Xenopus tropicalis: one gene and its partners. The protein of the gene in region 1 purifies or fractionates together with the protein of each later gene. This does not show direct contact. Links are inferred from orthologs where the notes say so. Each region holds a gene or a part of one and is shown in the gene's direction. Other genes may lie near its edges. The genes, in order: mphosph6, exosc4, zfc3h1, exosc6, exosc5, exosc3 and exosc8.

What was found.
Region 2: the proteins of mphosph6 (region 1) and exosc4 purify together in Homo sapiens (affinity purification with mass spectrometry; 7 studies listed by BioGRID and IntAct, with this or other methods). This does not show direct contact. The link is inferred for Xenopus tropicalis from reciprocal best matches to the Homo sapiens genes MPHOSPH6 and EXOSC4.
Region 3: the proteins of mphosph6 (region 1) and zfc3h1 purify together in Homo sapiens (affinity purification with mass spectrometry; 3 studies listed by BioGRID and IntAct, with this or other methods). This does not show direct contact. The link is inferred for Xenopus tropicalis from reciprocal best matches to the Homo sapiens genes MPHOSPH6 and ZFC3H1.
Region 4: the proteins of mphosph6 (region 1) and exosc6 purify together in Homo sapiens (affinity purification with mass spectrometry; 3 studies listed by BioGRID and IntAct, with this or other methods). This does not show direct contact. The link is inferred for Xenopus tropicalis from reciprocal best matches to the Homo sapiens genes MPHOSPH6 and EXOSC6.
Region 5: the proteins of mphosph6 (region 1) and exosc5 purify together in Homo sapiens (affinity purification with mass spectrometry; 6 studies listed by BioGRID and IntAct, with this or other methods). This does not show direct contact. The link is inferred for Xenopus tropicalis from reciprocal best matches to the Homo sapiens genes MPHOSPH6 and EXOSC5.
Region 6: the proteins of mphosph6 (region 1) and exosc3 purify together in Homo sapiens (affinity purification with mass spectrometry; 6 studies listed by BioGRID and IntAct, counting the BioPlex papers as one, with this or other methods). This does not show direct contact. The link is inferred for Xenopus tropicalis from reciprocal best matches to the Homo sapiens genes MPHOSPH6 and EXOSC3.
Region 7: the proteins of mphosph6 (region 1) and exosc8 purify together in Homo sapiens (affinity purification with mass spectrometry; 4 studies listed by BioGRID and IntAct, counting the BioPlex papers as one, with this or other methods). This does not show direct contact. The link is inferred for Xenopus tropicalis from reciprocal best matches to the Homo sapiens genes MPHOSPH6 and EXOSC8.

Annotation. Positions count from the first base shown.
Region 1 is NC_030680.2:63,902,274-63,906,491, forward strand, and holds the end of mphosph6 (M-phase phosphoprotein 6), read left to right. Parts: coding exon 1-80; intron 81-408; coding exon 409-506; intron 507-2,290; coding exon 2,291-2,432; 3' UTR 2,433-3,445; downstream 3,446-4,218. UniProt on the Homo sapiens protein: RNA-binding protein that associates with the RNA exosome complex. Involved in the 3'-processing of the 7S pre-RNA to the mature 5.8S rRNA and play a role in recruiting the RNA exosome complex to pre-rRNA; this function may include C1D.
Region 2 is NC_030682.2:151,308,776-151,313,444, reverse strand, and holds the start of exosc4 (exosome complex component RRP41), read left to right. Parts: upstream 1-1,653; 5' UTR 1,654-1,657; coding exon 1,658-1,828; intron 1,829-3,414; coding exon 3,415-3,621; intron 3,622-4,357; coding exon 4,358-4,669. UniProt on the Homo sapiens protein: Non-catalytic component of the RNA exosome complex which has 3'->5' exoribonuclease activity and participates in a multitude of cellular RNA processing and degradation events.
Region 3 is NC_030679.2:59,899,927-59,903,223, reverse strand, and holds the end of zfc3h1 (zinc finger C3H1 domain-containing protein), read left to right. Parts: intron 1-379; coding exon 380-481; intron 482-790; coding exon 791-830; intron 831-1,312; coding exon 1,313-1,375; intron 1,376-1,494; coding exon 1,495-1,623; 3' UTR 1,624-2,454; downstream 2,455-3,297. UniProt on the Homo sapiens protein: Subunit of the trimeric poly(A) tail exosome targeting (PAXT) complex, a complex that directs a subset of long and polyadenylated poly(A) RNAs for exosomal degradation. The RNA exosome is fundamental for the degradation of RNA in eukaryotic nuclei.
Region 4 is NC_030680.2:74,926,256-74,930,824, forward strand, and holds exosc6 (exosome complex component MTR3), read left to right. Parts: upstream 1-1,587; 5' UTR 1,588-1,610; coding exon 1,611-2,261; intron 2,262-3,767; coding exon 3,768-3,929; 3' UTR 3,930-4,454; downstream 4,455-4,569. Other genes in the region: aars1 (alanine--tRNA ligase, cytoplasmic), read right to left, coding at 1,427-1,511. UniProt on the Homo sapiens protein: Non-catalytic component of the RNA exosome complex which has 3'->5' exoribonuclease activity and participates in a multitude of cellular RNA processing and degradation events.
Region 5 is NC_030684.2:79,502,125-79,506,657, reverse strand, and holds the start of exosc5 (exosome complex component RRP46), read left to right. Parts: upstream 1-1,650; 5' UTR 1,651-1,680; coding exon 1,681-1,768; intron 1,769-4,494; coding exon 4,495-4,533. Other genes in the region: bckdha (2-oxoisovalerate dehydrogenase subunit alpha, mitochondrial), read right to left, coding at 1,383-1,454. UniProt on the Homo sapiens protein: Non-catalytic component of the RNA exosome complex which has 3'->5' exoribonuclease activity and participates in a multitude of cellular RNA processing and degradation events.
Region 6 is NC_030677.2:113,707,738-113,712,360, reverse strand, and holds the start of exosc3 (exosome complex component RRP40), read left to right. Parts: upstream 1-1,722; 5' UTR 1,723-1,814; coding exon 1,815-2,057; intron 2,058-4,623. UniProt on the Homo sapiens protein: Non-catalytic component of the RNA exosome complex which has 3'->5' exoribonuclease activity and participates in a multitude of cellular RNA processing and degradation events.
Region 7 is NC_030678.2:151,674,984-151,679,009, reverse strand, and holds the end of exosc8 (exosome complex component RRP43), read left to right. Parts: intron 1-1,051; coding exon 1,052-1,172; intron 1,173-1,966; coding exon 1,967-2,073; intron 2,074-3,397; coding exon 3,398-3,513; 3' UTR 3,514-3,609; downstream 3,610-4,026. Other genes in the region: supt20h (transcription factor SPT20 homolog), read right to left, coding at 3,895-4,026. UniProt on the Homo sapiens protein: Non-catalytic component of the RNA exosome complex which has 3'->5' exoribonuclease activity and participates in a multitude of cellular RNA processing and degradation events.

The DNA of each region.
Region 1 (4,218 bases):
TTGAAGAAAGGAGTTTTCTGCCATGTGAAGATTTCCTGTATGGCAGAATGTCCTTCAAAGGTTTTAACACTGAGGTTGAGGTTTGTAAATTTTATTAGGTTGAGTTTGTTCCAATTTCTGCTGTTCTTTAGCATCTGTTGTGCATACATAACTTTTTTCTGCCAAGGCTTATACCATACTGTTGGACTGTTCTGATGATTAAAATGGCAGTGCTTTTTAGTTTAGTTTTTGTGAATGTTATGTTTGTTATTCTAAAAAATCAAAAATATCTGCAAACATGCCCATTAACCAGCTCCACCATTATTTACCATTTCAATCGCATATAACAATTTGTAAATATATTCCTAGGAACAATAAAAAACTTTGTACAATAGAACCGATCTATAATGTCTTGCATTACTGTTTTAGAAATTAATGACCCAGCTGAATTCAAGGACAAAGACAGAAGAGATAGTTGAGGAAGGAACAATGGATGTTGATGTGTCTGATGAAGAAATGGCACGAAGGTGAGATCTCTTTTAGTGTTTTGACCTCAAACAAGGGTAGGGAGAGATTTTGCCATGTTGGCTGTAGACCGTTTAAAGGAGACATATCCTATAAAAATTATAAATGTACCAGTGAATTATACTCCTCTAGATATAGAAGGATTGTGCTTTAAAAAGTTGTGTTTCCTGCTGATTTATTGAGAAATTCCACCAAAACCCCACTAGCCCCGCCCCATCTGTTCCACTTCCTGCTAGCTGAATTCTCTGGATGAGCTGGGAAGCCTGTCTGTGCTTGTGTGAGTGCAGGGCTGTGATTGGCTATCCCCCCTCCTACTGTGCTTTTGGCAGGGACTGTTAGGACACGCCCACTCTTCATTTCAAACTCCGATGGAGAAGTTATAGAATCTATAGGGAGCTCCAATAAAGGGGCCATTGTTACAGAGAGGATTAATTTTTAGCCCAAAGGGAAACCAGCACCGTATATTGCCTACAAAATTAGGGTTTTTACCATTTATCCTATATGTCTCCTTTAAGAAGGGGAACTAAGTAACATGGTACAATTACTGGATAACTAATTTAAGTAAACGTTCAGAACAACAGGTCTCCTTAGTACTAAAAAATTGTGCATTTAGGTAAAGGGGTTGTTCACCTTTAAATTAACTGTAAGGAGAATGTAGTAATGATACAAGGCAGTTTGCAGTTGGTCTTTTTGTTTTATTTGTGATTTTTTTTTTTTTTTAAATGTCTTAGCATTTTGTTTAGAAGCTCTCCGGTTTGAAATTTCACCAGCTATTTGGTTGGCAGTGTCCAAATTAACATAGCAAACAGGCAATGGTTTGAATGAGGAACTGGAGTATAAATAGCAGAGGACCTGAACAGAAACTTAACTCATGAAAAGTAACAATAAAATTGTAGCCTTACAGAGCAATAGTGTATTGTTGCTGGGGTCAGTGACCCCCATTTAAAAGCTGGAAAGTCAAAAGAAATGAAATTATTCAAAATATATAAAACATGGGTGCTAAGAATATTGTCCCTTCTGTAATATACTAAAAGTTAACTTTAGGGTCAACTACCCCTAGTAGCTCTGCAATTGACTGACAAAGGGAAAATATTTAGTCTCCCATCAGATTTTTTTATTATACCTCCCCACTCCAAAGTGAAACTTCCAGAAATGGTGCAAAAAATTGCTAAAAGTCATACTTGTTTGTTTTACCCCTAGTTTCCACCTTTATTTGAAATTATCATATCTCTTGAATTATTACAATAATCATTCTTTTTAGGTTAATTTGTAGTTCTGTAGGGAGTGGTAAAGAAGGCAACTCTGTAAGGAATAGTGTATCAACTGTATTGTGAATATAAATGGCTATTCACCTTCTCTAGTTTCAGTGAATGTAGCATAGAAGTCTTTGGATTCACTTTACTGTTATTCATGTGTGAGGGATAATTGTTTTACATTAACACCCTCTGTAGCAAGTATTAGAATGTGTTTGTGTGGTAGCTTCCTTGTAATACTCCCAAACATTTTAGTATGTTAGGCAAAAAGTTGCATTTTTCCAAATCTTAATAGCTAGAAAGTTATAGCAGGTTAAAAATCTGTCCAATAAACATACTTCTAGCCTTGCAGCAGACCTTTATTAAAAGGAGAGTGAACCAAAAAAGCCTGTATCTTTTTACTATTCCTTTACTGTCATTTAGTGCCTTTAATTTTGTCTAAAGCTGGAATTGTATCATCAGTGGGAAGCCTTAACATAAACTACCATGGAGTCCTAATGAGTAAAAGTAATTCTTATTCTACCTATTTTCAGATACGAGTCATTAGTGGGCACCATCAAAAAGAAATTTACGAAAAAAAGGAATCAGAAAGAACTAAAGGAAGAAGGAGAAGATGAAAACTGTAACATTAGAAGCAGCAAAGTACAAAAAGTTTTTCTAAAGCCACAAGATTAAATAGCTACAGGTTTAACTGTCTGGAAAACTTCTGTTTGTTATTGTTATGGAAGACTAGTGGTTTTTCTACCTTTCCACACGATGGATATTTTATATTTCTACCTTCATATCATTCATTTTAAAGTTTTAACAACTTGCTACTTTTGATGGTATACATTTTAGAGACTGCATTCTAAAACATATCAGCCATTGATTATATTAATTATGTGCATAACTATATTTGAGGATAATATGTTTTTGTTTTAAGATCTTTGCATTCATGTAAGGAATTTCTTTTTTTTCCTGTGGTAGTGAAAAGATTCCTTTTATCATTTTAATTCCACCTGTCATAATGAGAAGTCATTTTTTCCACTAGAAAGACAAAAATTGATTTAAAGGCTAGAAAGACTACATAGGTGGAATTAAACTACCCCCAAAAAAGCATCCATTACAGTATGTTTTTTTTTTTTTTTATGGATCTAAGTATCATCTGTTAAATGTTTTAAATGCATCACCCAAGTCCTGAACTGGCACTGTTGTGCACTGCTCAAAGTAAAAAATGAATTGATATAGGCCAGGGTAACTAAATGTTGCATAAATGCACTGGCTGAGGTCTCGAAAAGTTGCTGGTGAAATGCTCTTGTTTCAGTGCTGTAAGAGAGTATGATCTCTGGGTTTTTATTTGAGTGAACATTTTATCCTGTTTATTTTATATTATGATTGCTTACCTTGTTTTATGTTTTATCTGTATTTCTTGTAATTTATGTAAAACAGGAGCAGTTTTTTTTGTTTTGTTTCTTTTTTAAATTTTTTCTTTTGTACCTAATATTCTACAAATTTGTTTCCAAAGTACTTTGATATATATTTAAGCATTGTGCAAGAGGAGAAAGCAATGACATTTCTGCAGTTAGGAATTCAGAAATGTACAGCTTTAGGGCTGACCTTTTTCATTGTTCGGTTGTTTTCTCTAAGTGCTCAGTCATTCATTATGAAAGAAGTGTTTCAATAGCATGTTGTTTAAAAAAAAAAAAAAAGAAATGAACTGTGGTTTTCAGTATTCTCCTATAAAAAAAAAATGACGGTGGAATAAACAAAAAGTGTATTTCTTAATGATAAACATTTTTCCATTTCCTTGAGCTGTATTTTCACGGATACTGCCTGAACATAGACCAGACTGCCTATGGGTCACCAGAAGCCAGGTTTCCCCTTTTGTTCCTTACTGGAGTTTGGCGCAACCCATCTGCTTAGTGCTCCTTAGGTGGTCTGTGTTTTCATACTTCTGTAGCCCTGCAAATACAGGAATTTTGCCACTGGTGCATTATGCAGAAATACACTTTCAGGAACTATATTTTTGATGCAGAAAAACAGGTCTTTATAGCTTTACAAGTGATGTAAATGATATCTGGTCTGTTCAAATATGAATTCATCTCTGCTAATTAAATATATTTTTCTAAAAGAGTCTCGCTTGTGTTTGTTCCTTTAGTCAGATACAAATTTCGGTTACATACACAATGCACCAGTGCTTAATTTTTTTTTTTTTTAAGCAATTCAGTGGAGGTATTCACCCAATACCTTTATATAAACCTCTCCTATTTCAAAATTAGAATATTTAGAAGTTAGATTAAGTAGTGTTTTTTATATATATATATATATATATATATATATCTGGTTTATGCACTGGCATAACTATATAGTATAGAGTAAGCAGACCCTGTAGCTGGAGAAATACTGTTTTTATTACCTGTACTTTTTTCCATGGTTTGTATTTAGGCTCTTGAAAGCTGCCTCCTTACACATATAACATCTC
Region 2 (4,669 bases), on another chromosome or scaffold:
TCCGAGTCACAAAGAATCGAAACTCGTTTTACTGGATCCCTCAGGCACCAAGGCAGGAGGCGTGGCCAGAGGCACGGAAAGGAGCTGAGCGCTCAGCACACAGTTTATTAACCCCTTCTTCCCACTCAACTTGTAGCCACTGCACCTTTCACAAGCTCTAAACATCTGCAATGTAGGACTCTAAAGCCAATGACTCTAAAGTAGCCCAAACAGATGGAGCCCAGAACTGTTCCTATTAAAGCAATAATGTCATGGGAAAACATGTTTTTTCAAAACCCATCAGTTAATAGAGCGTCTCCCGCTGAATCCTGCATTGTAATCTGTTTTTCCCATGGGGCTAGCCATATTCTTCATTTCCCAGGGTGCCACAGCCATGTGACCTGAGCCCTAATAAACTTCAGTTTCACTTTACTGCTGCGCTGCAAGTTGGAGTGATATCCCCCCCCCTCACCCCCAGCAGCCGATCAGCAGAACAATGGGAAGGGAGCAAGATAGCAGCTCCCAGTAGGTATCAGAATAGCACTCAATAGTAAGAAATCCAAGTCCGGCTTGGGACTCCTCCAGTTACATGGGAGTAGGAGAAACAATAGGTTAGCTGAAAGCAGTTCTAATGGGTAGCGCTGGCTGAAAGCTCAGACTCAGGCACACTTTACTGCTGCGCTGCAAGTTGGAGTGATATCCCCCCCTCCCCCCCAGCAGCCGATCAGCAGAACAATGGGAAGGGAGCAAGATAGCAGCTCCCAGTAGGTATCAGAATAACACTCAATAGTAAGAAATCCAAGTCCGGCTTGGGACTCCTCCAGTTACATGGGAGTAGGAGAAACAATAGGTTAGCTGGAAGCAGTTCTAATGTGTAGCGCTGGCTGAAAGCTCAGACTCAGGCACACTTTACTGCTGCGCTGCAAGTTGGAGTGATATCCCCCCCCCTCACCCCCAGCAGCCGATCAGCAGAACAATGGGAAGGGAGCAAGATAGCAGCTCCCAGTAGGTATCAGAATAGCACTCAATAGTAAGAAATCCAAGTCCGGCTTGGGACTCCCCCAGTTACATGGGAGTAGGGGAAACAATAGGTTAGCTGAAAGCAGTTCTAATGTGTAGCGCTGGCTGAAAGCTCAGACTCAGGCACAAGGCACTGAGATGGCGCCTACACGCCAATATTACAGCTACAAATACATTTGTTGGTTGAAGAATAAAAGGTTAAATGGCAGAGGGAATTATTTGCTGTGTAACAGTGTCAGTACTATGAATCTACAGTGAAAGGGAAAATGTAAATGCTCAGTGGAATGTTCCTTTCCTGGTTACTATGGGGAAAACCCATAGGTGAGTAGGCTGCACAGTGACAGGGGAACATAATATATATATATATACAGTTTCTGCTCAGTAACATGGGAAAATAACAGTGTGAAATAGGAAACATGGCTCAGAGCCCAACTGGGCCGCACAATAGCGCCATAGGGACCAGCAATAGGAATTAGCGCCACTTGTAACGAACTGAGGTAAAAGCGCAATTCTACTACACGAAGTAACTATCACTTTGGCACCGCCCCTTTATGTGACGTGGAGGCGGGCACCCAGACACTTCCGGAAAGAGGAACGGAAAGTGGCGGCGCGGTGGTTTCTGGGAGTTGTAGTTTATACCGTGAGAACGTGGTGCGGGATGGCGGGGCTGGAGCTGCTGTCGGACCAGGGCTACCGGGTGGATGGCAGGAAAGCCGGGGAGCTGCGCAAGATACGGGCCAGGATGGGAGTGTTCGCTCAGGCCGATGGCTCCGCTTATATCGAGCAGGGGAACACCAAGGCCCTGGCTGTGGTATATGGGCCCCATGAGGTGAGTGCTGGGGCCACACGGACGGGCTGAATGGCTCAGAGGCATTACTATAGGGGAGAGACCGCTGGGTTACTTGGGTGGGTAAGTGGGTGGCACAGTATGGGGGTGGGTAAGTGGGTGGCACAGTATGGGGGTGGGTAAGGGGTTGGCACAGTATGGGGGTGGGTAAGGGGTTGGCACAGTATGGGGGTGGGTGGGTATGGGGGTGGGTAAGTGGGTGGCACAGTATGGGGGTGGGTAAGTGGGTGGCACAGTATGGGGGTGGGTAAGTGGGTGGCACAGTATGGGGGTGGGTAAGGGGTTGGCACAGTATGGGGGTGGGTAAGGGGTTGGCACAGTATGGGGGTGGGTAAGGGGTTGGCACAGTATGGGGGTGGGTAAGGGGTTGGCACAGTATGGGGGTGGGTAAGTGGGTGGCACAGTATGGGGGTGGGTAAGGGGTTGGCACAGTATGGGGGTGGGTAAGGGGGTGGCACAGTATGGGGGTGGGTAAGGGGTTGGCACAGTATGGGGGTGGGTAAGGGGTTGGCACAGTATGGGGGTGGGTAAGGGGTTGGCACAGTATGGGGGTGGGTAAGTGGGTGGCACAGTATGGGGGTGGGTAAGGGGTTGGCACAGTATGGGGGTGGGTAAGTGGGTGGCACAGTGGGGGTGGGTAAGGGGTTGGCACAGTATGGGGGTGGGTGGGTAAGGGGTTGGCACAGTATGGGGGTGGGTAAGGGGTTGGTACAGTATGGGGTGGGTAGGGGTTGGTACAGTATGGGGGTGGGTAAGGGGTTGGCACAGTATGGGGGTGGGTAAGGGGTTGGCACAGTATGGGGGTGGGTAAGGGGTAGGCACAGTATGGGGGTGGGTAAGGGGTTGGCACAGTATGGGGGTGGGTAAGGGGTAGGCAAAGTATGGGGGTGGGTAAGGGGTAGGCAAAGTATGGGGGTGGGTAAGGGGTAGGCAAAGTATGGGGGTGGGTAAGGGGTTGGCACAGTATGGGGGGTGGGTAAGGGGGTGGCACAGTATGGGGGTGGGTGGGTATGGGGGTGGGTAAGGGGGTGGCACAGTATGGGGGTGGGTAAGGGGTTGGCACAGTATGGGGTGGGTAAGGGGTTGGCACAGTATGGGGGTGGGTAAGGGGTTGGCACAGTATGGGGGTGGGTAAGGGGTAGGCAAAGTATGGGGGTGGGTAAGGGGTTGGCACAGTATGGGGGTGGGTAAGGGGTAGGCAAAGTATGGGGGTGGGTAAGGGGTAGGCAAGTATGGGGGTGGGTAAGGGGTTGGCAAGTATGGGGGGGGTGTAAGGGGGTGGCACAGTAGTAGGGGGTGGGATAATGGGGGGGGTTGGCACAGTATGGGGGTGGGTAAGGGGTGGCACAGTATGGGGGTGGGTAAGGGGTTGGCACAGTATGGGGGTGGGTAAGGGGTTGGCACAGTATGGGGGTGGGTGGGTAAGGGGTTGGCACAGTATGGGGGTGGGTAAGTGGTTGCTGCTGGGATACTTACCCTGCCTACACACGGCTGCCTGTGCCCACTGCTAGTCCCGCCCCCATACCCCAGTTCCATGTGTAACGGTGCCCGTAACGCTGTGCCCACAGATCCGCGGCTCTCGCAGTAAAATGCTCCACGACCGCTCAGTGGTGAACTGCCAGTACAGTATGGCGACCTTCAGCACCGGCGAGAGGAAGCGCCGCCCCCACGGGGACCGCAAGTCCAGCGAGATGACCCTGCACCTAAAGCAGACGTTCGAGGCCGCCATCCTCACCCAGTTGTACCCGCGCTCACAGATAGATATCTACGTGCAGGTGAGTGGGAGGGGCATCAGCCAGTGGGTGGGGCATCGGCAAGTTGTAACAATAGTGCGGGGCTTAAATAGGGGCTGTTTCACTTTAAATTGACCTTAAAGGGGAGGTTCACCTTTGAGTTAAACTGTTAGTATGAGAGTGATATTCTGAGGCAATTTGCAATTGGTCTTCATTTTTATATTTGTAGTTTTTTAGTTGTTTCACTTGTTCAGCAGCTATCTGGTTGCTAGGATCCAAATTACCTTATCGACCAGGGAGTGGTTTGAATGAGAGACTGGTATATGAATAGGGGAGGGGCCGAATAGAAAGATAAGGAATAAAAAGTAACAATAACTATAAAACTGGAGCCTCACAGAGCAATAGGGTTTGGCTGCCGGGGTCAGTGACCCCCATTTGAAAGCTGCAAAGAGTCAGAAGAAGAAGGGAAATAGATAAAAAACTATAAAAAATATAAATAATGAAGACCAATTGAAAAGTTGCTTAGAATTGGCCATTCTATAACGTACTAAAAGTTAACTTAAAGGTGAACCCCCCAAATCCTTTAGTCAGTGGTCCCCAATCTGTGGCCCTTGGGCTGTACTAAAATTCCCAGCATCCCCCTGGCCACCAAGAGTAGTTCCTGGGAGTCACTATGTGGGGATATCTCAGTGGTGCATGTATGTGGTATCTTGGTGCTGCCATACTGGCTCCCGTGTTGTGCTGCGCTGGATATGATCACATGACTCTCCCTGCCCAGATCCTGCAAGCAGACGGGGGCAACTACTGCACATGTGTGAATGCCGCCACCCTGGCCGTGATCGACGCCGGCATTCCCATGCGCGACTACGTGTGCGCCAGCTCGGCGGGCTTCATCGAGGACACGCCCCTCGCGGATCTCAGCTACGTGGAAGAAGCCGCCGGAGGGCCCCAACTCGCCCTGGCCCTCCTCCCCAAGTCGGATCAGATTGCGCTGCTGGAGATGAACTCGCGGCTGCACGAGGATCACCTGGAGCGGGTGATGGATGCCGCGAGCAAGGCGTGCAAGGATGTGTACGCTGTCCTGGATCAG
Region 3 (3,297 bases), on another chromosome or scaffold:
CAGAATTAATGTAATTCTTTCTGCAAATTCAAGGCGTTGGATTTTGGATTTGTCAGCATAATTTTACTTGGTACAGGAGAGTATATATTGCTGGTTTAGCTTTATGGTATCTTTCTTCTCTGGTTATAGTTCATTCTTTGTGGGCGCTAGCCCTAACTTACAGATCAGTACTTAACTTTGCGTTGCAATTTCAGTTATTCCGTTTACATAGCTACCATAAGCGGAACATATTTACCTGAACTGTATAAATAATTCTGTATCTTTATCACCATTAATTTATTCTAGATTCTGTTTTCCTTTTTGGCAAGTAGGCCAACTTATTAAGTGTGTTCAGTGCTATAATATTTTTGGCACAACCAATTGTCATTTACCTTTTCAGGGTACTAAAACAAGAATTGGAGGAGAACAATAATGAGAATGTGAAAATGCAATCCAAGATGTTTACATATAATTTCCCAATGTGCCTGCCCATCTGGAAAATGTAATGTACAAATTCCTTGTTTTGTTGTTCTTCATTAACTATTTAGCATGCAGGTAATGATCTCTAAACTGTTTGTGTGGGAAGAGTGCAAGTATGTATCATGCTGTTGATTTCTGAATGTTTCTCAGACAGTGGGGCAATTGCCTAACATCTTCAAGAATAACGGGAAAGTCTATTCATACAGTTTTATGGTTACCCTTCTGCTATGTTTTCCTTCCCAGCAGTTAATTTACAAAATGAAATGTCATTAAAGAAATGCTCAGACACTCGCACAAACCCCTTGATGTGTTTATTTTCTTTTATTAATAGAGCCATTGCTGTGGAAACTTTTCTAAAAGAACCCAAAGAGGTGAGATGATTTGTTTCTGCATCCTAAAGAAGCAGCTTGCCTGTTTCAGGACTTTGAAGTAGATGACAATCACTTTGTCTTAATCTACTTGGAGAATATGAAAACTCAGGGTACTGCCTAGCAAGGAGGCAAGACTCATGGACTAACCATTGACAATAGGATATGATCAAGGCTAAAAGTGAATTCTCCTTGATCTCATGATATTTTCTCACTCTGGCGTTAACAAGTCTGTGCTACAAGCTATTCACCTGTATGTTTTACTTTTAAATTGCTTTGGCACCCTAACAATTACTGGGGGAAAAAGGTTTTGACACCCTAAATTGATTAAGCTATAAACTCATATAAACAAAAAAACTATGTTGCTTTATAATCATTTTAAAAGTCCATCACCCCATAGTATATATTCATTAGATCTAAGTGTGTGTGTGGGTATATATATATATATATATATATATATCTCTGAAATGCACTATATTTTACAGGTCCACCATCTCTATCAAAGAGCCCTGCAGAAGATGCCTCTATGTGCTGCCCTATGGAAAGATGTAATGTCTTTGCTTGTTCTTTGTTTTTGGTTATGGGGGGGAGGTTCTTTGCCATGTCCAATAATGAGGTGAATTTCAAATTAAGTGTTAATAATATATTGCATCCCCCTCTTTTTCAGCAACTCTTGTTTGAAGCATCAGGAGGAGGTAAAACAGATAACCTGAGAAAACTAGTTTCCAAGTGCCAAGAGGTTGGAGTCAGCCTAGATGAGCTCTTAAATATAAACACAGAAAGCAGGAGTCGCTGAACAATGTGCAGTCAGGCCAAAGTCTTATTTTTAAATGCCAGATTGATAAGGATTAGCATCCCAAGTGTTTGCAAGGCAGTACTGCCACGGCTCAAGGGTGTTATGGTAACCCAGAATATAGATACTGCCATGTTCAAACTGGAGAAATGAATTCGGCCTGCTTCTGGGCCCAACAAGATTCTTTGCATCATATACGTAAGTATAGTTCATCAGTGACTGCTGTTTTATTGTTTCTGTCTGTGTTTATTCTCCTCCCTACCCCATCCATTTATTTTGAAAAAACCCCTTTTGTTGTGCTGTTCCTAACTTGCTTGACTCTCTCTCACTGATGCCTGTGAGACCCCTGTGTCTGGTGTAAATTACAGAGCCTGCTGTTTACACTACAAGAGCAATCAGTCTCTCATTCAAAATGATTCAGAATTTGGTCAGTTCACATTTTAAAAACAACAAGGGCGGGATATTAAACATACATTACTATCATTGTAGATAAAGTAAAGAGCAGCAGGTCGGAAGCGAAACCTCTCTGCTAAGGCCGTCCGTCTGCTAATTGCACTTGAGGGTTGTTTTTTTCCCCATCCCTATTTATTTTATTTTGTTTCACATTTCTACATTTTGGACTCAGCTGAGACTGTTAAACTTGAAGATATTGCAAATGCTAGTGCATCAGAACTGAAGAGTGGTCAATTACAATGTGCAATTATTTTCTTTGTCAAGTTTAATTTATAATAAAGTTTAACAGTTTAAAGTACAGTATATAATGAAAATGTTTTGTATTATAATACTACCGTGTGTAGTATTAAAACTGTTTATACAATATTTTAAATATAACTACTTAAAAAAAAAAAAAAAAGTTGTGGTGCGTGGTTTTTTTTGTGTTTACATATAAGGTGTGGTTAATTCATAGGCATGTGACACTTCTGCACTAATCCTTTTAGTTTTATACCAGCTCATTCCAGTCTCTGCTTTGAAATTCATGGTCATGTGATGTTTGTGTGATGTTATGCTGTAAAAGTCAAAACCAAAGATATGGAGTATTCTTGGCTTTTGACTAAAAGAACATGGCTTGAAGTACATGACTGAATACAAATAGACCCCAATATATAGCCGGCCAAATACCCAGCAAGTAAATAACCATACCTGTGGGTATTTTACTCCTCTTACTTGAATACGTTACTAATGTATTTATGATTTTAATAGGGTGGATCATGATTGTAATAGTTGATGATAGAAATTTACAGTATGTCTGGTAAAAAAAAAATGGTTGCAAGTTGCTTTAATATTAAATGCAATAAACTGTGGAGGAAAAAGCAAACAGTCTAAGGCAGTGCTGTCCAGCTTCTGTGGTTCAGAGGGCTAGAATTTTTCTGGCCTACATGGTGGAGGGCCGATAATGGAAGCCAGACTTGACCACTCCTGTTTTTTTTTTGTTTTTTTTTTAAACTGCACCCGCTTCAGACCACACCCATGTTATCACAAGAGCTTTAAAGACCATACCCACATTAATGGGGTGGTAGCACAGCAAAAACCCAAATGGTTGGTGCTCACTTTTCATTCATATGTGAAAGAATTGTATTATGTCATTAAGACACACCCTTAAATCCATACGCCGCCTCCTCCTCCCCTGTGGATAGCACAGCAACCCCCAGCACATAATTACACACATTAGGGACCGTA
Region 4 (4,569 bases), about 11 Mb from region 1:
AGAGCCCCCACATACATAGTGCCCCCCCATACACAGTGCCCCCCATACACAGTAGCCCTCCTTACACAGAGCCCCCCCATACACAGTGCCCCCCATACACAGTGCCCCCCATACACAGTAGCCCTCCTTACACAGTGCCCCCCCCATACACAGTAGCCCTCCTTACACAGTAGCCTTCCTTACACAGAGCCCCCCATTCACAGAGCCCCCCATACACAGTGCCCCTCCAATTTTTTGACCACGCCCACTTTGTGGCCACACCCCATTTTTAAAATATTTAAAATAGTGCCCACGATGGCCCAATAGACAGCACCCCCATACACAGTGCCCCCCATACACAGTAGCCCTCCTTACACAGTGTCCCCCCATACACAGTAGCCCTCCTTACACAGTGTCCCCCCATACACAGTAGCCCTCCTTACACAGAGCCACCCCATACACAGAGCCCCCCATACACAGTGCCCCCCCATACACAGAGCCCCCCCATACACAGAGCCCCCCATACACAGTGCCCCCCATACACAGAGCCCCCCGATACACAGAGCCCCCCATACACAGTGCCCCCCCATACACAGTGCCCCCCCATACACAGTGCCCCCCCATACACAGTAGCCCTCCTTACACAGTGTCCCCCCATACAATGCCCCCCCCATACACAGAGCCCCCCAATTGCCCCCATAGTGAGTACCTCCAAAAGAAAATGCCCCCATACATAGCGGCCCCCATAGACTTCTTGGGCTCCTGCTCCTTATTCGGCTCCTCGTACAGCGGAGACAGGACCTTTTATAAGGTTGCGCCCGTGCATACGTGTGACGTCACACGTACGCACGGGCGCAACCTTATAAAAGGACCTGTCGCCACCGTACGAGGAGCCGAATAAGGAGCAGGAGCCCAAGAAGAGACGGAGCCGGAGCGATCCGCTGCAGCCAGCAGCAGGGTATGTAATAGAAACACATATATCAGAAACATAAATTATTTTATGCACATAAATACAACTGATTTGGAAAGTCCCATGTCTCCTGAACGTGCCAATACCAAATATATATAGTTTTATGGAGATTTCTCACTTGTATAGGTCAAAAACTCCCAGCAGTACACTACCATATTTCCAAAGCACTGCTCCAGAAAGCTGCACACATTAAGGCCAAAAATTCCACTAACAGAAGGTTTACCCTAGAAACCTATGCATTTCTGGAAAGAACAGATTCTGGCGAATCCAGAATAAGTAAAACTGTCTGTCTACTCCAAACTATTAAGTTGCAATGCTTTCCTAAATTTATAATTTTTTTCTAAAAATTTGTGACATTTTTTGAAAAATTGCTTCAAATCTTCCATTCTATAGCATCATATCTACTGCTAGGTCATAAGGTAACCAGATAAAACACCCTAAATATGAAAGTCAGGGGTGCATTGAACAGTTTCATACCCAATAGTAGATCACAGGGTGACAAAGTGTCTGGGCACCCCTGTGCTAGTAAAGGCCCGTTCCAGGCACAGAGGATAAAATTCATCGAGTGGCCACTGTGCGGCGGTGTTTCGGCGCATTAGGCCTGTCCGTGCTCACGGTGGGAGGAAACACGTTGTAGGATAGTATCACCCAGTGCATAGCCATGCCGGGAGACAGCCGCCGTATTCGTGGCCCCGAAGAGTCGCAGTCCCCTTTGCTCTATGTACTGAGTGAAGAAGGAGGAAAAGCCGCAGGGAGAAGGGGCCGCGGTCCGTCAGAGCCCCGGCCGGTGTTTGTCAGGGCCGGCCTCCTGAGCCAGGCTAAAGGCTCCGCGTACCTGGAGGCCGGGAGTGGCGGCACTAAAGTGCTGTGCGCAGTTCATGGGCCGCGGGAGCGCGGGATGGGAGGGGAGAGAGCAGAGACCCGGGGCCGCCTGCTCTGTGACCTGCGCTGGGCTCCCTTCTCCCGCCGCGGACCCTGGTCTGGCTCTTGCCCCGCTGGGCCCTCTCCCCGCCAGGCCGGGCTGCAACTACAGGAAAGTCTGGAACCGGCCGTGCGATTGGATCGCTACCCCCGAGCGGAGGTGATAGTGTGGGTCCTAGTGCTGGAGGATCGCGGCTCTGCGCTGCCTGCGGCCGTGTCTTGTGCCTCGCTGGCTTTGGCCGATGCTGGGATAGAGATGTTTGACCTGGCGCTCGGATGTGGGCTAAGCCGCGGCCCCGGTGGGGAGCTTCTGCTGGATCCGGATGATGATGAAGAGGAGGCTGGGAGTGGGGGCACCATGAGCCTGAGCCTCTTGCCAACCCTTAATCAGGTCAGCGGCCTGTGTGCCACTTCTGGTGTAGGGGCAGATAGGGGCTTAGTGCTTGGGCATGTGGGGGTTACTGTGGGACACACCAGCTCTGCACTCCTTGCTTTCCCTCATCCTACTAGTACAGCTATTAACCCCTAACAAATTGAAAGTATATTAGCTCAGAGCCCCATTCACGCTTTATACTTATTCTTTGTTTTCTTTAGTTTACATGATACATCTATTAAGATTCCACCATCTGTCTACATTGTGCCTTCTCTCTTCAGCAGCTCCTTCACATTTGCCTCTCCAGAAAACTTCTGGCAACTTAGGAAAACTGATGCAGCAAATTTGCCAACCCACTGGGGATTCACATTCTTGCTGGTGGCAAGGCATTTCGAGAAGATTAGTCTCACTCGATTGCAAAGATGTATCACAGGCGACTAATCTTCCCACGTGCCAGTGCCCTAGGGCAATGCTATACTAAGCAATTACCTCCATCAAGATTTGCTGCTCATTGGGTGGGTGCCATGCCATTGATCTGAGAGGGCTGTTATCCGTACCTTTCTGGTCAGGCTCCATTGCAGCTCATAGGCTGCTGTTCAACAATATCATTATATATAAAGTGTAAAACTGCTGGTATGTAAACTAAAGAGAATTTAAAAATAGTGTACATTGAAAAAGTGCATAGAAGAGTCGTAGCCACTGCTGTTCGCCTTGCAGCCTGTAGAGCAGTGGGTTAATGGCACAGTGTAGCCTAACCTGTCAGCCTAAATTGAATGAAACTGTTACATAGTGACTTAAAAAAAATAGACTTTGGGAGCATTAGAGAAATCTGGATCCATGTACGCTAATATGAAGCAGCTCTTGGAATCACGTATTTGCGCTGGTGATGATGGTCTTTCCAGTGTAACGATTTTAGATTGCTTATAATATACATTGTTTTAATATTGGGCTTTGGACTTAGTGTTCAGCTTCTCAAAGCAGCTAAACATTCTGCCAAATAGACATTTTCCTGCCAGGCATTAAAATGGGAGAAAAAATTCAAACTGCTGGGAATCTCTGGGTGTTACTAGGTTTTGGCATTATTTGAGAAATGTTATTGGGTAACTTAAGGTGGAAAAGAAAGTTGACACAGAAAAGAGTATAGCTCTGCCAGTGCTTTGCCGCCATGTTATGAAAGGCTCCCATGGACCACTGTGTGAGACTGGGGACTTAAAGAACATTACAGTGCTGGCAGAAATAGTGTGTTATGTGTTGAAAAGGAACTCCAGCCTGGGGTTTAAGATTAGTAATTGTAATGAGTGGGGGCATAACATTCCCAATGACATCATTTTTATTTTCCATTAAATAGCCAACAAATGGTATAGGACATAATGCAAAGGAGGTTTTTTTGCTGAAAACAATTTCATGTAATATCTTATTGCTGTACTATATGCACATTTTCAGCAAGGGGGCTAATATTTAGTTTTGCTTACAAATCTACAGGAATGAACTCCTAATGACAGTCATGTTTTCTTGTACCCACAGGTTTCTGGACTTATTAGCAGTGGAGAGTGGGAAGGCGAGAGCTCGGAGGAAGCGGTTAGACTCTGCATGGAAGGCTGCCAGAGATTGTACCCAGTTTTGCACCAGTGCCTAGTGAAAGCCACTAAAAGGAAAATACCAGTGCCACAGCCTGACACAAACTGATCCTCGTAGCTTTGGGTGCAGCTCTCCTTTCTAAGGCAAACTAATAGTGCTGCAAAGCAGGCAATGTCTACTTTCTGCTCTATAGTGGATCGGGACCACCCGAAGACAAAGCCACCATCGCTGGCTGATCAAATGTATTGTTGAAGTGTTATATTCTGTATATGGTCAGCTGAAAATTATAGCTCTGTATTCATGTTGAATGTGAAAGGCGTATAGTATCTATACAGAACTTGTTTGCCAGTCAATCTGCTTTAACAGCTGCTCTCTAAAGACAGAAATAACACTGATTTCAGTTTACTATGGCATTTAGAATATCCCTTTACTGGGAACTTACTGTACCAGCTACTGTCACTTATTTCCTTAAAAGGGAATCTCCACCTGGTTTCTGTTTAAAACTCCATTTTCATGGGGCAAAATTATTTTCTATAGACAGCCTTAGGCTTTTTTCCCTGCTGTAGATGATCATAGGCGTTTTTTTTAAAAACAAACTATGCACTTGGCATTACCATAAAACATTAAAGGCTTCTATATGAAATCTGGTTTGTTTTAGTTTTTACACATTGTGATGGAAAGGAACACTACATAAAACTTCTGGTTTTGTTTATAGGGACACTATATAACACCGAAAATAACCTTCCAT
Region 5 (4,533 bases), on another chromosome or scaffold:
CCCATACAATCAGTGACCTTCCAATACCCAGGAAGCTTAACTGACTTAATACAAACAGCAAGACCGGCAAATGTCACTTTCCTCCTAAACCCCCTCACTCTTATCCTCACTTTACTCCTCCATTTGACACCTAGTATTAAGGATAAAACCTTTTATTTGGCCTTTATTTCAAGTGTCATCCTTCCGGTTTACATATTTCTGTCCTTTAACCCTTTCAATGCTGTCCAAAACAGAATCTATGGCACATTAGCTGTTAAATCAGACAAATACTAGGCATATCCTAATTAAACTGTAGTAATAGTTATTTAATATGCAAGAATAAGTAATAATTAAAACCATCTAGTTTTGCTCCAGACCACGGGGCTCTTCAAGAGGTTATGTTCCCCTACAGGCCAAAGTGCTCCTCTGATTTCTGTCCATGACATTATCATTGTATTATAATCCAGCTCCAAAATGTATGGTATAGTGCTGGGGGAGGGGGTTCCATATTTTTTTTTCCCACCAGAGCATCACACATCTTTAATGCGTAACACCTTGGTCTTGCCCGTTAAATCACATAACTAAAAGCACAATTTAGGCTACAAGTATCTGCAAATAATTATGTTTTCTAAAAACATTTTACACTGCACCATGAAAAAAAAGTTAGAACACCTTGAAAATATATATTCTTTCCCGTATGCAAAAACACAGAGAATCCAATACAGTGTAAGCAATAACTGTGGTACAGTACAGAACTAGGAATATTACTAGAATGTTGCTTCTATAATACTCCAACCTATAATATTCCAGTCCCAGAACTGCTGATCAAAAGCACAGGCAATTTTATACAAATACTTATATATAGATATGTACAGGGCTGTGTATACAAGTAGCACTATACAAATATATACCTGGAAATATGTGTGTGCATTTTGGGAGTATGTATACAAACATATTCTTCCTATTTATATAGCTGAAACAATGTTGTCACCAGCTGGTTTATGGACAGACAATCAACCAACCTGTTATTTAAGGCTAAAGCATATAAATGTATATACTATATAAGCTGTAAATTCAAATGTAAATTTGACTCCTTACAAATCTAGTCAGCAATATCACATATTTTTACATAATTCTGAACTGTAACTATAACCCACGTTTATTATAGCATATAACTTTTAAAACACATCTCCCAATTCAAACAGTTCTTGTAGTTCCCATGTATATACGTCAGACAGGCATACTAGTATTTTAGATGCGATGTACCTTATGGTACAAGATGTGTATACTTCTCAGTATACAAGACCAGGGTCTCGCATTTAGAAATAAAACATTTAAACTCCCCTTCCATCTGATTATCGTCTGTTTCACTCACACCAACGCGACCCCTGTACTCCTCTCACCTGTCTCCCACCGGCGCCTCTCCACCCTCCTGCCACAGTCCGGACCCTTAGAAGTGCCCTCAGCGCCGCCATCTTGCTTCGGAATGCTATCCCACTGCCTACATTTCTCTTAGGACCCCTATTCAACAGCTTGTCAAAAATAACCTCTGAAGTGAGAAATTGCGAGAATTGCGTATTTCCTATTATTCCCTGGGAAAAAAGGCTTTGGCATTGTTGTGTATAATTATACAGGCAAGTGTGGCGGTTGCCAGACCCCAAGGACCCCGGAAGTGTTTGCACATGTGGAAAGAAGGTTCTGATGGAGGCTGTAGGTTCTGTATTGCGGGAATACGGGTGTGAGCAGAGTTTGCTGAGCCGTCCCGATGGATCCGCTACGTTTCTTCAGGGTTAGTTTTGGCGCGCCTATAATTCCTCAAATCTTATGTGGAATACGAGGATATCAAGGGATACATATTGAAGGGAAGCGTAAAATGTTTTGCGGCTAAATCATTGGATGGAAATTGAATTGTAAATCCAGTGGCCGTTATTCTCATTTAATGGAACAGCTCTTCCATGTTGTCATAATGCAGAGGACAGCAATGGGGAATGTATGTGTTGTATTTGTCTAAAGTAGGTGGTTGCTGAACTGCAAACTTGTAAATTAAGCAATTTTCCAATATAGGATAATAAAAAATGTTCATGATTTTAAAATTGATACAATTGTTACTGAGAAAAAAGTTTCAGCCTGTTTATTGCAACTCTCTCCTGGTTTCCCCAGCTACTCTTAAAGGAACAGTAACATCAAAAAATGAAAGTGTTTTAAAGTAATTAAAATATAATGTGCTGTTGCTCTGCAAAAAACTGGTGTTTTTGCTACAGAAAAGCTACAATATAAATAAGCTGCTGTGTAGCCACGGGGGCAGCCATTCAAGCTGGAAAAAAGGAGAAAAGGCACAGGTTACGTAGCCGATAACTAGTAGATAAGCCCCATATAATGGGGGTTTATCTGTTATCTGTTAAGTAACCTGTGCCTTTTCTCCTTTGAATGGCTGCCCCCATAGCTACACAGCAGCTAACTTATATAAACTATAGTAGTCTTTCTGAGGCAAACACACCAGTTGTAGCAATATAGGGCAACAGTACATTATATTGTAATTACTTTTATACACTTTCATTTTTTGGTGTTACTGTTCCTTTAACTACTCCAAATCTCACAATGCCTTGCTTGTTCTGCCATTATCAGCTGCAAAGTAAAATAAAAGAATAGTACAAGGCAAATTTGTAGGAACTGAGGTGGTGGTGAGGAGAGACATTTTTTATTTAATTATTTCTATAGTCTGGTAGCAAATAATAGCAAAGGCAGACAAACTGCTCTTGGAATTTTATTTAGAAATTACTTAAAAAAAAACATTTAACATGTTTAATTCCTGCATATTATAACACTGCTTAAAATTACAATTCATTTGTACAAATACATATATATTTATTTAGGAAAAGGTCCTTTAAAATATTGGACACCAAATTGAATTGGGGACAGACTGACCATACTCTTACTCTAGAGCTATAAACGGTCATGTACAGCACTGTGATTATGATACCTGTGTGTACGCATTTAAATAAACCAAAATATAGGGAATATACACCATATTAAAAAATATAAGGGTATTGGAAGTCTCCTTAGAGTGCCATGACCATATACAGGCACAGAACCAAAGGCCAAGTGGTTTAATACAGGTCATTGAACTCTGAGGTGGCTTCTAATATCCACATATTTTACAACAGAGGAGGTTTTAGTCAGTAAATTATACAAATTACATCACTGATCAATGTTGGTAAAGAAAATCTTGTGTATTATAGCTATAGGGGCTTGTAGTTTTGGGCTCCTAGGCTCTGCACCATATTCAATTTTAGAATAAAGATTAGAAATGAGTTTCAACAAAAAATGTGAGCTATCCTTACAAAGTAGCAATCCAGTACCATGTTTAGGTGGTTTATAGCATTTTGACCAGTTAATAATTTTTAATGCAGTATAATTTTTAATGCAGTTCTCCAGTCACACAAAAATAGATTAATTCGGAAAAAAGAAACTAAAGGGTGTAAGCACATTGACCTAGATATCAAGCAGGTATATCATGGTGGCTTAGAATTCACACCAAACTCTCTGCAACTCTGTTCTACCAAGCTGCATTGATCAAGACCTATCACTTTATCCACCTTGTGTACAGTTTTACTCACCACCTTTTTATACCTATCACCATTTGAAAACTCGAAAGAGGGACACAATTAACTGCCATGCTCCTCCCGCCATTTGAAAACTACAAAGAGGGACACAGTTAACTGCCATGGTATGACTGCACCCACATTTTACCACACCCAAAATACCATGATCATAAAATTAAAACTAAAACCAAAAAAAAAAATCCAGACATGCCAGTAAAATCACTGCATAAATAACCAGAGAAGCCTCCATTAACTAAAGACATGACCATAAGATCACTGCATAAAATGGGTAGATTGAATGCATTGCCTCACTTAAGTTGCACAAGCAGCAAATCACAAACTTGTTCTTTTCTAGTACCCCCATGGTGCTTGTCATTTTGCCTTTGCCTGAAAAGGCAATTTTTCCATTTCCACAGTGGAACTTACGGCCATCTGTGATTATGATTGGCTGTGTTTGAGCCCCTGCTGAGATTGCTTTAAAGAAGAAAGAAAGGTAAAAACTCATAATTCAGGTTCGTTTATATATCACACAGGCAGTAATCTGGCTACTGTAGTTTTATGTGACTAAAGCTGACATACATGCACCGATGCACCTAGTTTCATACGATATTCACTGTGTGTATGGTGGATCGACGAGGTGAACATCACAAAAGCTTCGGATATGTCGCCTCGTGGAACGGGCGGGACAGAAGACTTTTATACGAGCAAAATCTGTGTTTAGGGCTTAATTGTCAGGTGGAGGTAGAATCCTTATTGTTTCTACCTCCATATCTGACAATTCAACTCTGAATGCCAGTGGAGGGTGGGAACGATCTTTCCTGAGACAAATGGTTGCAGGAAAGATTGTAATTGTAAGGTGTATGGCCACCTTAAGGCTAACTGTTCAACTGATTTCCATGTTGCTTTCCTGTAGGCGACACATCTGTAATGGCTGGAGTATATGGCCCTGCAG
Region 6 (4,623 bases), on another chromosome or scaffold:
GGCATTGAAAATCCCTGTGCCTGTGCCCAGGCACAAGCAGCCGATATCCGACAAAAAAGGCAAGACTTTGTTTTTTCAGCAAGTATCTGCTACATGTGCCTGCACCCAAGCATATTCGATGCATTTGAGTGCAGGCAGAGTTAGGGGGATTTTTAAGCAGATGTAGCGTATTTTTGGCAAGTGGTTTTCAGCTTGCTGAAAAAAAACGCTAGATACACTATGGGGCCTATTTATTAAAGTACGACAGGTACGAATTACAAAAAATTTGTATTTGATTGTACTGTGCGTATTTTCTGCGACTTTTTGGTACTTTGCGACAAAATTTGTGCGACAAAATTGTATTGTTGCGCCGAGTACGAACTTTTCGGATTCACTCAAGCTTTGGTATCGTGACGTTCCTTGGGCCAGGTTGGAACTGCAGAGTGCCATTGAGCCCTATGGGAGACTTTCCTTGGGCCAGGTTGGAGCTGCAGAGTGCCATTGAGCCCTATGGGAGACGTTCCTTGGGCCAGGTTGGAGCTGCAGAGTGCCATTGAGCCCTATGGGAGACTTTCCTTGGGCCAGGTTGGAGCTGCAGAGTGCCATTGAGCCCTATGGGAGACTTTCCTTGGGCCAGGTTGGAGCTGCAGAGTGCCATTGAGCCCTATGGGAGACTTTCCTTGGGCCAGGTTGGAGCTGCAGAGTGCCATTGAGCCCTATGGGAGACTTTCCTTGGGCCAGGTTGGAGCTGCAGAGTGCCGTTGAGTCCTATTGGAGGCTTCCAAAATCATGCACAGAAGGATCAATGTCAGAAAGGTTTTCCTGCTGTTTACGATCGTTCAGATACGAAAATTGTGACTTTCGGATCGCCAATAAGATATTATCGTGACTAATACGATTTTTTTGTAAGCATGTTTGTGATATTTGCTGTCATCAGAAATTATTGTATTTAATCCAAATTTTTCTCAATTTGGAATTTGAACTTGTACTTTGATGAATAATGCAGGGGATTTCAGCCTGAATTTGAGGTAAACAGATAAGGACCTGCCAGGATCTATAGCAGTGGTCCCCAACCAGTGGCTTGGGGGCAACATGTTGCTCACCACCCCTTTTGATGTTCAGTGACCTCAAAGTAGGTGCCTATTTTTAAATTTCTGGCTTGGAGGCATGATTTGAAAGCACAGAAACACATTTTACTCCAAGCAGAGCCTCCTACAGGCCAGCAGTTTACATGTGGCTACCAAACAGCCAATCACAGCCCTTATTTGGCATCCCCAAAGAGCTTTTTTTGCGCTTGTGTTGCTCACTAGTAAAAAAGGTTGGGGGGCCCTGATCTATAGGGAGCTCCAATAAACGAGGCACTTTTAAAGATAGTATGAATTTTATAATTGCACATAATTTTGGGAAGAGGTGGCAGACAAAAAAACTTGCCCATAATTTCTGATGGCAGCATTGCCTTTCCATACAAATATGTCACCCAACAGGCAATTTCTAACACTGTAAGTGGGTTGAAGTCACTATTTATTGCATAAGAAGACAATGACTAGATCAGCACAGACTGCAAGTCACTTTCCTAAATACTATTGGGCCAGGTTAGAAAAATAAATACTGGCAGCGATTTGGGAAAAGAAAACACAAAAAGAGAACACTGCCGCCATCTAGCGATCAGCCAGAACACTGCACTATACGGAACAAAAGAATTGAATTGAGTAGAATTGAATCGCTTTTCGAACCCTTGCCCAGCTCTCCAGTACTTGCTTCCTTGCAAATCTATTGGTGTATTACCGTCACGTGCTAAGTGTAGTAGGCAGACGCACTTCCGCTCTGATAGCAGCATGTCAGCCGTGAGTATTGAAGATGCGGTCGGTCAGATCGTTCTGCCTGGGGATGTGCTTGTTCTTTCTACCCAGTCCCGGGATGCTCCTCTGTCTCTGAGCGGCCCCTCTACATCTAACAGGCCCCGGGTTGTGTGTGGCCCCGGGCTCATGCGGCAGGAGGATGATCTGCTAGTGAATAAGTGTGGGCTCCTGCGGCACAGGGACCCGGCAATCTACTGGGTTGATTCTCAGCAAAAGCGGGTAATGGTCTCTTTCTGTGTGTTGGGAACGCCTGGTCTCGGTGCTAGGGCACAATTATACTTGCTTTTTTCCTAGTACTTTTATGTGCAGCACATTACTCACCTATGAAGCACCTATAAAATCCAACTCCTAATGCAATTTGGTTATTAAATGGTCATTTATCCTTTGTTTTCCTGCAGTATTAACTGGTGGGCAGCGTTCATTTACTAAAGGGATCACCAACTTTTTTTTTACCCTTTTGAACAGAAAATATGGGCTGCGATTAACTATTTGGCCGCCTATAGGAGGCTTCATTTGTGTTTTATGCAACTTAAGCCAGAAATTCAAGACTGCCCACTGGGAGAAACATCCAAGGGGTTGATGAGCAACATGTTCGGGAGCCACTGGTTGGCGATCACTGATTTAACATAAGCTTTGCGGTCTTGACATAACTTTAAAGGAGAAGGAAAAGCTAAGTCACTTGGGGGTGCCAAAATGTTAGGCACCCCCAAGTGACTTTAATCGCTTTTACCCCGGGCTGGTGCCCCTGTACGGAGAGAACAGCACCAGCCTGGGGTAGCTGCAGCGCTTCCTCCTTCGCGTGCGCATGCGCAGTAGAGTGAAAAGCCGAACTGAAGGCGGCTTTTTCACTCTACTGCGCATGCGCCGGACTCGGAGTCGCAGCTTAACGAAGCCGAAAGGAGGAAGCGCATCGCCCCAGGTGCCCTGGCCTGGTGCTGTTTTCTCCTAACAGGGGCACCAGCCCGGCGTACGAGGTAATCGATTCAAGTCACTTGGGGGTGCTTAAAATTTTAGCAACCCCAAGTGACTTAGCCTTTCCTTCTTCTTTAAGCGAGAAAAGAGGGCTTTAATGCTAGATTACCAAAAGGACTGCATCAATGATAGTATACCTATTCAACATGCAACATGATTCTCAAGCTTACTTGATGCCTATGAGCAGGCCTGGACTGGCAATCTGTGGATTCTGGCAAATGCCAGAGGGGCTACCGTAAAATGCCATAGACATTCACTATTTATTGGGCTGGTGTGGGGACTGTTTAGCCTCTGTGTACTTGAAATGCCATGGCCTTTTTTAATCTGTCAGGGTCTGCCCAAGGGCCCCTTACGCAGGACTTTAGGCTGCTGAATTAGACTGGGGTGGGCAAGTCACCAGCTTTATCAACCCATGTATAACTAGCTTAAGCCTCAGAAAAACAAAATACTGCCACATGGATGAATCTGCCAAACAAGGGTCACCTTTGTTTACATGTTATTGTTTTTTGAGGCTTAAAGGGGACCTGTCATCCAGACATAAAAAGCTGTATAATAAAAGTCCTTTTCCAATTAAACATAAAACCCAAATTCTGTTTTTTATTAACATATCCATGCCCTAATATTATAAAGGCATTTAAAAATCCCAGCTGTCAATCATGTATTGCCTGCCCCGCCTCTATGCCTTAGGCATAGAGGCGGGGCAGACAATAACTTTCCATTTAGCACTTCCTAGATTTCGCTGCTTTTTTTACTTTTCCCCTCCCAGGCATCTGGTCCTACGTTCTATCACAGTGCTGTCCAACTGGCGGCCCGCGACCCCCCTCTGTGTGGCCCCCCACCTGTCTGGCTGCTTTGATGGCTTACTCTTGTGTAAGATTTAAATGGTATCAGTACTGAGATTAACTGGCCCCCTGCATGGTTCTCACGTCATATTCAGGCTGTAATCCCTCTGTATTGTTTAAACATGTAATCCCCTGTGTTGTTCACACCTTTTAGTCCCTGCATTGTTCACCCCCTGCAGTGTTCACACCTCAGGCTGTAATCACCCCCATTGTTCCCCTGTTCACACCTCAAACTGTAGGAGCAGTAGAAACCCACAAATAATCCCTGCACACTACAAAAAGAACATATACTGAGGTGGTACTGCAAATAATTTTTTTTTTTAATATATAGTTATTGTGCAGACTGTAGGAGCAGTGACAGAATTGTGTCACTGTATGCTGCCTGTGTGTGCGCCATACAGCATAGGGCAAGCAGAGTATGGCACACACAGGCAGCATAGGGCAGCAGAGTATGGCACACACAGGCAGCATAGGGTAGGCAGAGTATGGCACACACACACAGGCAGGGTAGGGCAGGCAGAGTATGGCACACACAGGCCAAGTATGGCACAAACCAGCCAAGAATGGCACACACAGTCAAAGTATAGAACACGCAGGCTGGGTAGGGAAGGCAGAATATGGCACACACAGGCAGGGTAGGGAAGGCAGAGTATGGCACACACAGGCAGGGTAGGGAAGGCAGAGTATGGCAGGTTTTTGCTGTACTACAACCATTAATATGGGTATGGTCATGTGATAACACGGGTGTGGTTTCAAGTGGGTGCGGTTTCAAAAAGGGGAGTGGTCAAAACTGGCTTCCATTATCGGCCCTCCACCACGTAGGTCGGAAAAATTCCGGCCCTCGGTAGCACCGAAGTTGGACAGCACTGTTCTATCACATAAACACACTGCTTGCTGCGATTCTGTAATTCCAAGACTGTAGTGTAAGTCAAGTTTATTTTGCTCAACTAATTTGGAATTATTTCTTAGGG
Region 7 (4,026 bases), on another chromosome or scaffold:
GCACAGAGCATGTGCTGGGAATCAGCAGAAAAGAAGATGGGGGCTACTGGGGGCACAGATCTTCCCTGCTAAAGGGCTGTGGCTGTCTTTGGCTCATACAAAATATAATATACAATGTTTCTCCCTTCCTCCTTTAGATAAAAGTTAGTTCTCCTTTAATGTGGTGAACTGTGTATTTACTACAAGCTACATATGTTGTGGTGCTAAATATTGCACATTAATGTAAGGGCACATCCTAAAGTGAAATCAAAAGTGTCCTTTCCTAGACCAGGCCATTCTGGTGGGAGTGGATAGGGAAAAAAACATGAGGCAAAATGATCAAACAGCGAAGCTTGAACTCGCCACAGTCTGTAGCATCACAGAGTGGAATTCCACCACTATCGATTTATGTCTCTGGGATGTCTCAAGCTCTAGCTGTTCAGGATCCCATTCTTTATAATGCAATCTGCAGCTCCCAAGGTGTCACTGCACTATAATCCCAAGCAACCCATGACAGCTTTTGGCCTACTGGTGGATGCTAAAAGTGGTTGTTGGAGCCCATGCCAATATAATGTGTATTTTGCCTTATGATACTCTCCCACTGCTGCAGTCAATACAAATATTTACAGCAAAACGAGGGTTTCTCTTCTTATGCACTGCTTGCAACTGCCACCCTGCAGGTCCCTGTGTGGAGCCTCTGCTTGGGCCTCATTTAAGGCACCCTACCTAGGAACAAACATGTTCTGTTGGTAGAATATACATTCCAGCAGTTGTGCAACGAAGGCCCACAATTGGAGCTGCCTGTCCCTTCTGGGCCCCATGGAATGTTATTAAGCACTATACACAGAAGATGGTCTGTAGAAAGCTTTCCATTTATTCTGGAGGATAAAACAGTTTGTCCTTAGTCAGCAGTTATTTTATTATTTGCCTGTTTATAGGCATTATGAAATATTTATGGACATTTCAGTAGGATTTGCGGTTGATGAACTCACGTTGCTCTTGAATGTCACAAAATTGACTATTATTAGTATCTAATGGTGCCTGTGCCAATGTTATTGGTTTCCCTCTGCAGTAAGATTGCCATCTGTTAAAATAAACGAGGAGACTGGTTTAGCAGAAGTCAATTTGAAAACAAAACATGCTCTGAAAATCCTGAAACACCCCGTTGCAACATCATTTGCAGTATTTGATGAGTAAGTATTTGAAGTCCTTTGCTAAAGCTAGTGAGGCTTGGGGCTATAGGGCAGTGATGTTCTGAGTAAGTGATGAGACCCTCTACCGTTTTTTTATATGAGTTTTCACTGGAGACACCAGCTCAGAAGCTTGTGAGAGGATTGGGGGTGGGCACTGGGGAAGTTGAAGCCTGGTCAGCCATTGGCGCCAGAAAGCCTGGGGGAGAAAGTCAAGCAGCCTGACATGGGGGCCACCAACCCTGCCTGTTATCATGAGTGACAGGGCGTGCAGAGCAGTATTGGGGCACAGGTTGGATAAATGGGTTTTAACTGTGGTGACCACAGATTGCCTTGTGTTTGATGTCAACAGGTCAATAAAGGTCTGTTTTTTTTTTTTTGTTTAAGCTCTGTATACAGTTATATGTTTTTGTCCATACAGACAAGATAGGCATACGTGAACACTACATTCACTTTAACGTAATAACAATAACACTTCAATGGGACCTTCACTTCTGGGAACATCATTAAAGGTGCAAGTCCCTTCAGCTTCAGAGCTGATTACGGACAGGCCTTGTGATAAGCAGAATCACTAGTGTATTAGTATTCTCATGGGGATCTCTACTTTAAAATAGTTCTATAAAATATAATAATGGCTCCCTATACAGTATGCTGGTCCCATCTTGTGACCGATTAATCACAGAGGTAGGTGTCGGAGGCTGAGGGTTTGATCTTGTGTGAGGAATGCTTACTCTCCATCACCAAACCTATTGCACTGTCCCAGATTACGCATATAAGTGTGTTATTTTCTTTCCTAGCACATTCCTTCTGGTGGATCCCACAGGGGAAGAGGAGGGCTTGGCCAGCGGACTACTCACTGTTGTGACTGATGAAGATGAAAGGTTATGTGCCACTCGAAAACCAGGTACATCTACAGGCGATGAAGAACAATGGCTGCTTTGCTTTATAACCAGCTGATGCCACTGGGACAGTTCTCTCCCAACCATATGTAAAACAGGACATACATTGTAAACCCTGTATGAACTTAGAGAGATGCTTGTTAATAAGAGCGAATGTGTTTGTTTGTTTGTTTTGTTTTTGTTACTACACCCATGGTTTGTTGGGCAAGTCATATTTTTCCTGATGCCTTGGAGTACAGCAAGAAAAAAAAAATCTTGAGGGATAGGTAGATAATTAAACCTTTAACCTTTCCTCTGTAAGTGTAGCTTGCCACAGATGCAACCTAAATGAAGAGTGTTCACCCAGCTTGGCCTTCAGGCAATATCTGAATTAATCCTATGCAATTTATAAAAGGGCAGTACAGCTCATTTTCCAGCATCAGCGCAATGTTAGTGCTAAATATACTTTTTACCTGTTGTTTCAATTAAGAAATATCTATGTTATTATTTATGCTCTAAACAGAACAAAATCTGAACCTGAAAGTCACATTCTCCTTCCTGGTTTTGTACAAACAGTCAAAACAAATCATTAGTCTATTGAGAAGCCTCTGTATAATGAGATACTCCTATTTAAAAGCCAATCTAGTCTGCAGCTTAGGAGAAAGAAGGCTTTTTAAAACTACCTTTTCAGAACCAGGAAGTAATTGTGACTTTTTTTACTTTTAGTCTTTGTCCTGTTTAGTGCAAGAAATAAAAACAATTCCAATGTAAATATAAGACTAATTTCCCCACACTTTTAGAACTAAGATTATCGGATGTGCAACAAGGCTCCTTGTGTGTTCTGTGGTTTCACTGTAACCAAAAATAAAGTCCTGGAATCATTGTGGCTTGCCCCACTGAAATATTCTGCAGTGCAGTGAATAGGAAGGTCAGTGGTTAGGCCATAAGCCAGCAATTCTCCCTTGGTAAAGCTTCTTGATCAGGCTGCTCACTAGGTGCCGGGGTGTTTTGTTAAGGGGCACAAATTTGAGGGATGAACTGTGTGTCCCAAAAATTGATTTAGTAACATTTTTTTTTTATTAACCATTTTCTATTGCAGATGAAAGTTGACTGTAATTAGGGGGGGTAATCGTGGCCCACCTTAAACATTGGAACCCATATCCTGACCTATAGATTACATTTCTATGTGCTTCAGCTTTGTTTCTTACCTTTTGAGTGAAAACAGACATTTAAGAAATACCATTTTTTTGTTTGTGTATCTCTTGGGGAAGAGTGATGCATTCTTGTTAAAAAAAGGGGGAATTTTCATGTTAATCTGTAATATATTAACTTTTTTTTTTTTACGCAAAGGTGGGAGTGCCCTTGCAGCAGAGAAGCTCCAGGAGTGCATCAGTCGAGCCATCACGAGACACAAAGAGGTGACGAACCTTCTGCAAGAGGCGCTGGCCAGTGTCAAGTCAGAATAAGTAGGCATATTCATTTTAAAAATGACCATGTAAAAAGTTGTATTTGTTACAGTGATTGCACACCTTTTGTACTAAATAAACATTACCATGGCTACATTTACTCGCTACAGTTCTGTCTCTATGGGTGCAGCGTCTCAGTCTCCTCCTCACATGGATGCAAGTTAAAAATCTTTCCCCCCCCCCCCACCAGGTTTGTGAAGGCCCCCAGACCACTAATAATGTATGTCCATTTTAATGCACATATAAGTCAGACATCTCTTCACAAAGCTCGTTTGCAAGTATTCGTGTAAGAATAATTTAAAACAGTTTTAAAAAAATAGTAATTGGAAGGCAATAGTCGGTTAATAATTCTGCTCAAAGGTGTGATATGGAGTTCAAGGCTCAGGGTTTTGCGTCAAATCCGGCACTGCCCCTCCTTTTACTTCTTGATTGGCTGTCGGAATGAGGCAGGGGCGGGAACTGGGCTGCTTGTGCTGCTGTTGCCATAGCCATTTGATGATGCAAGAATTGCAA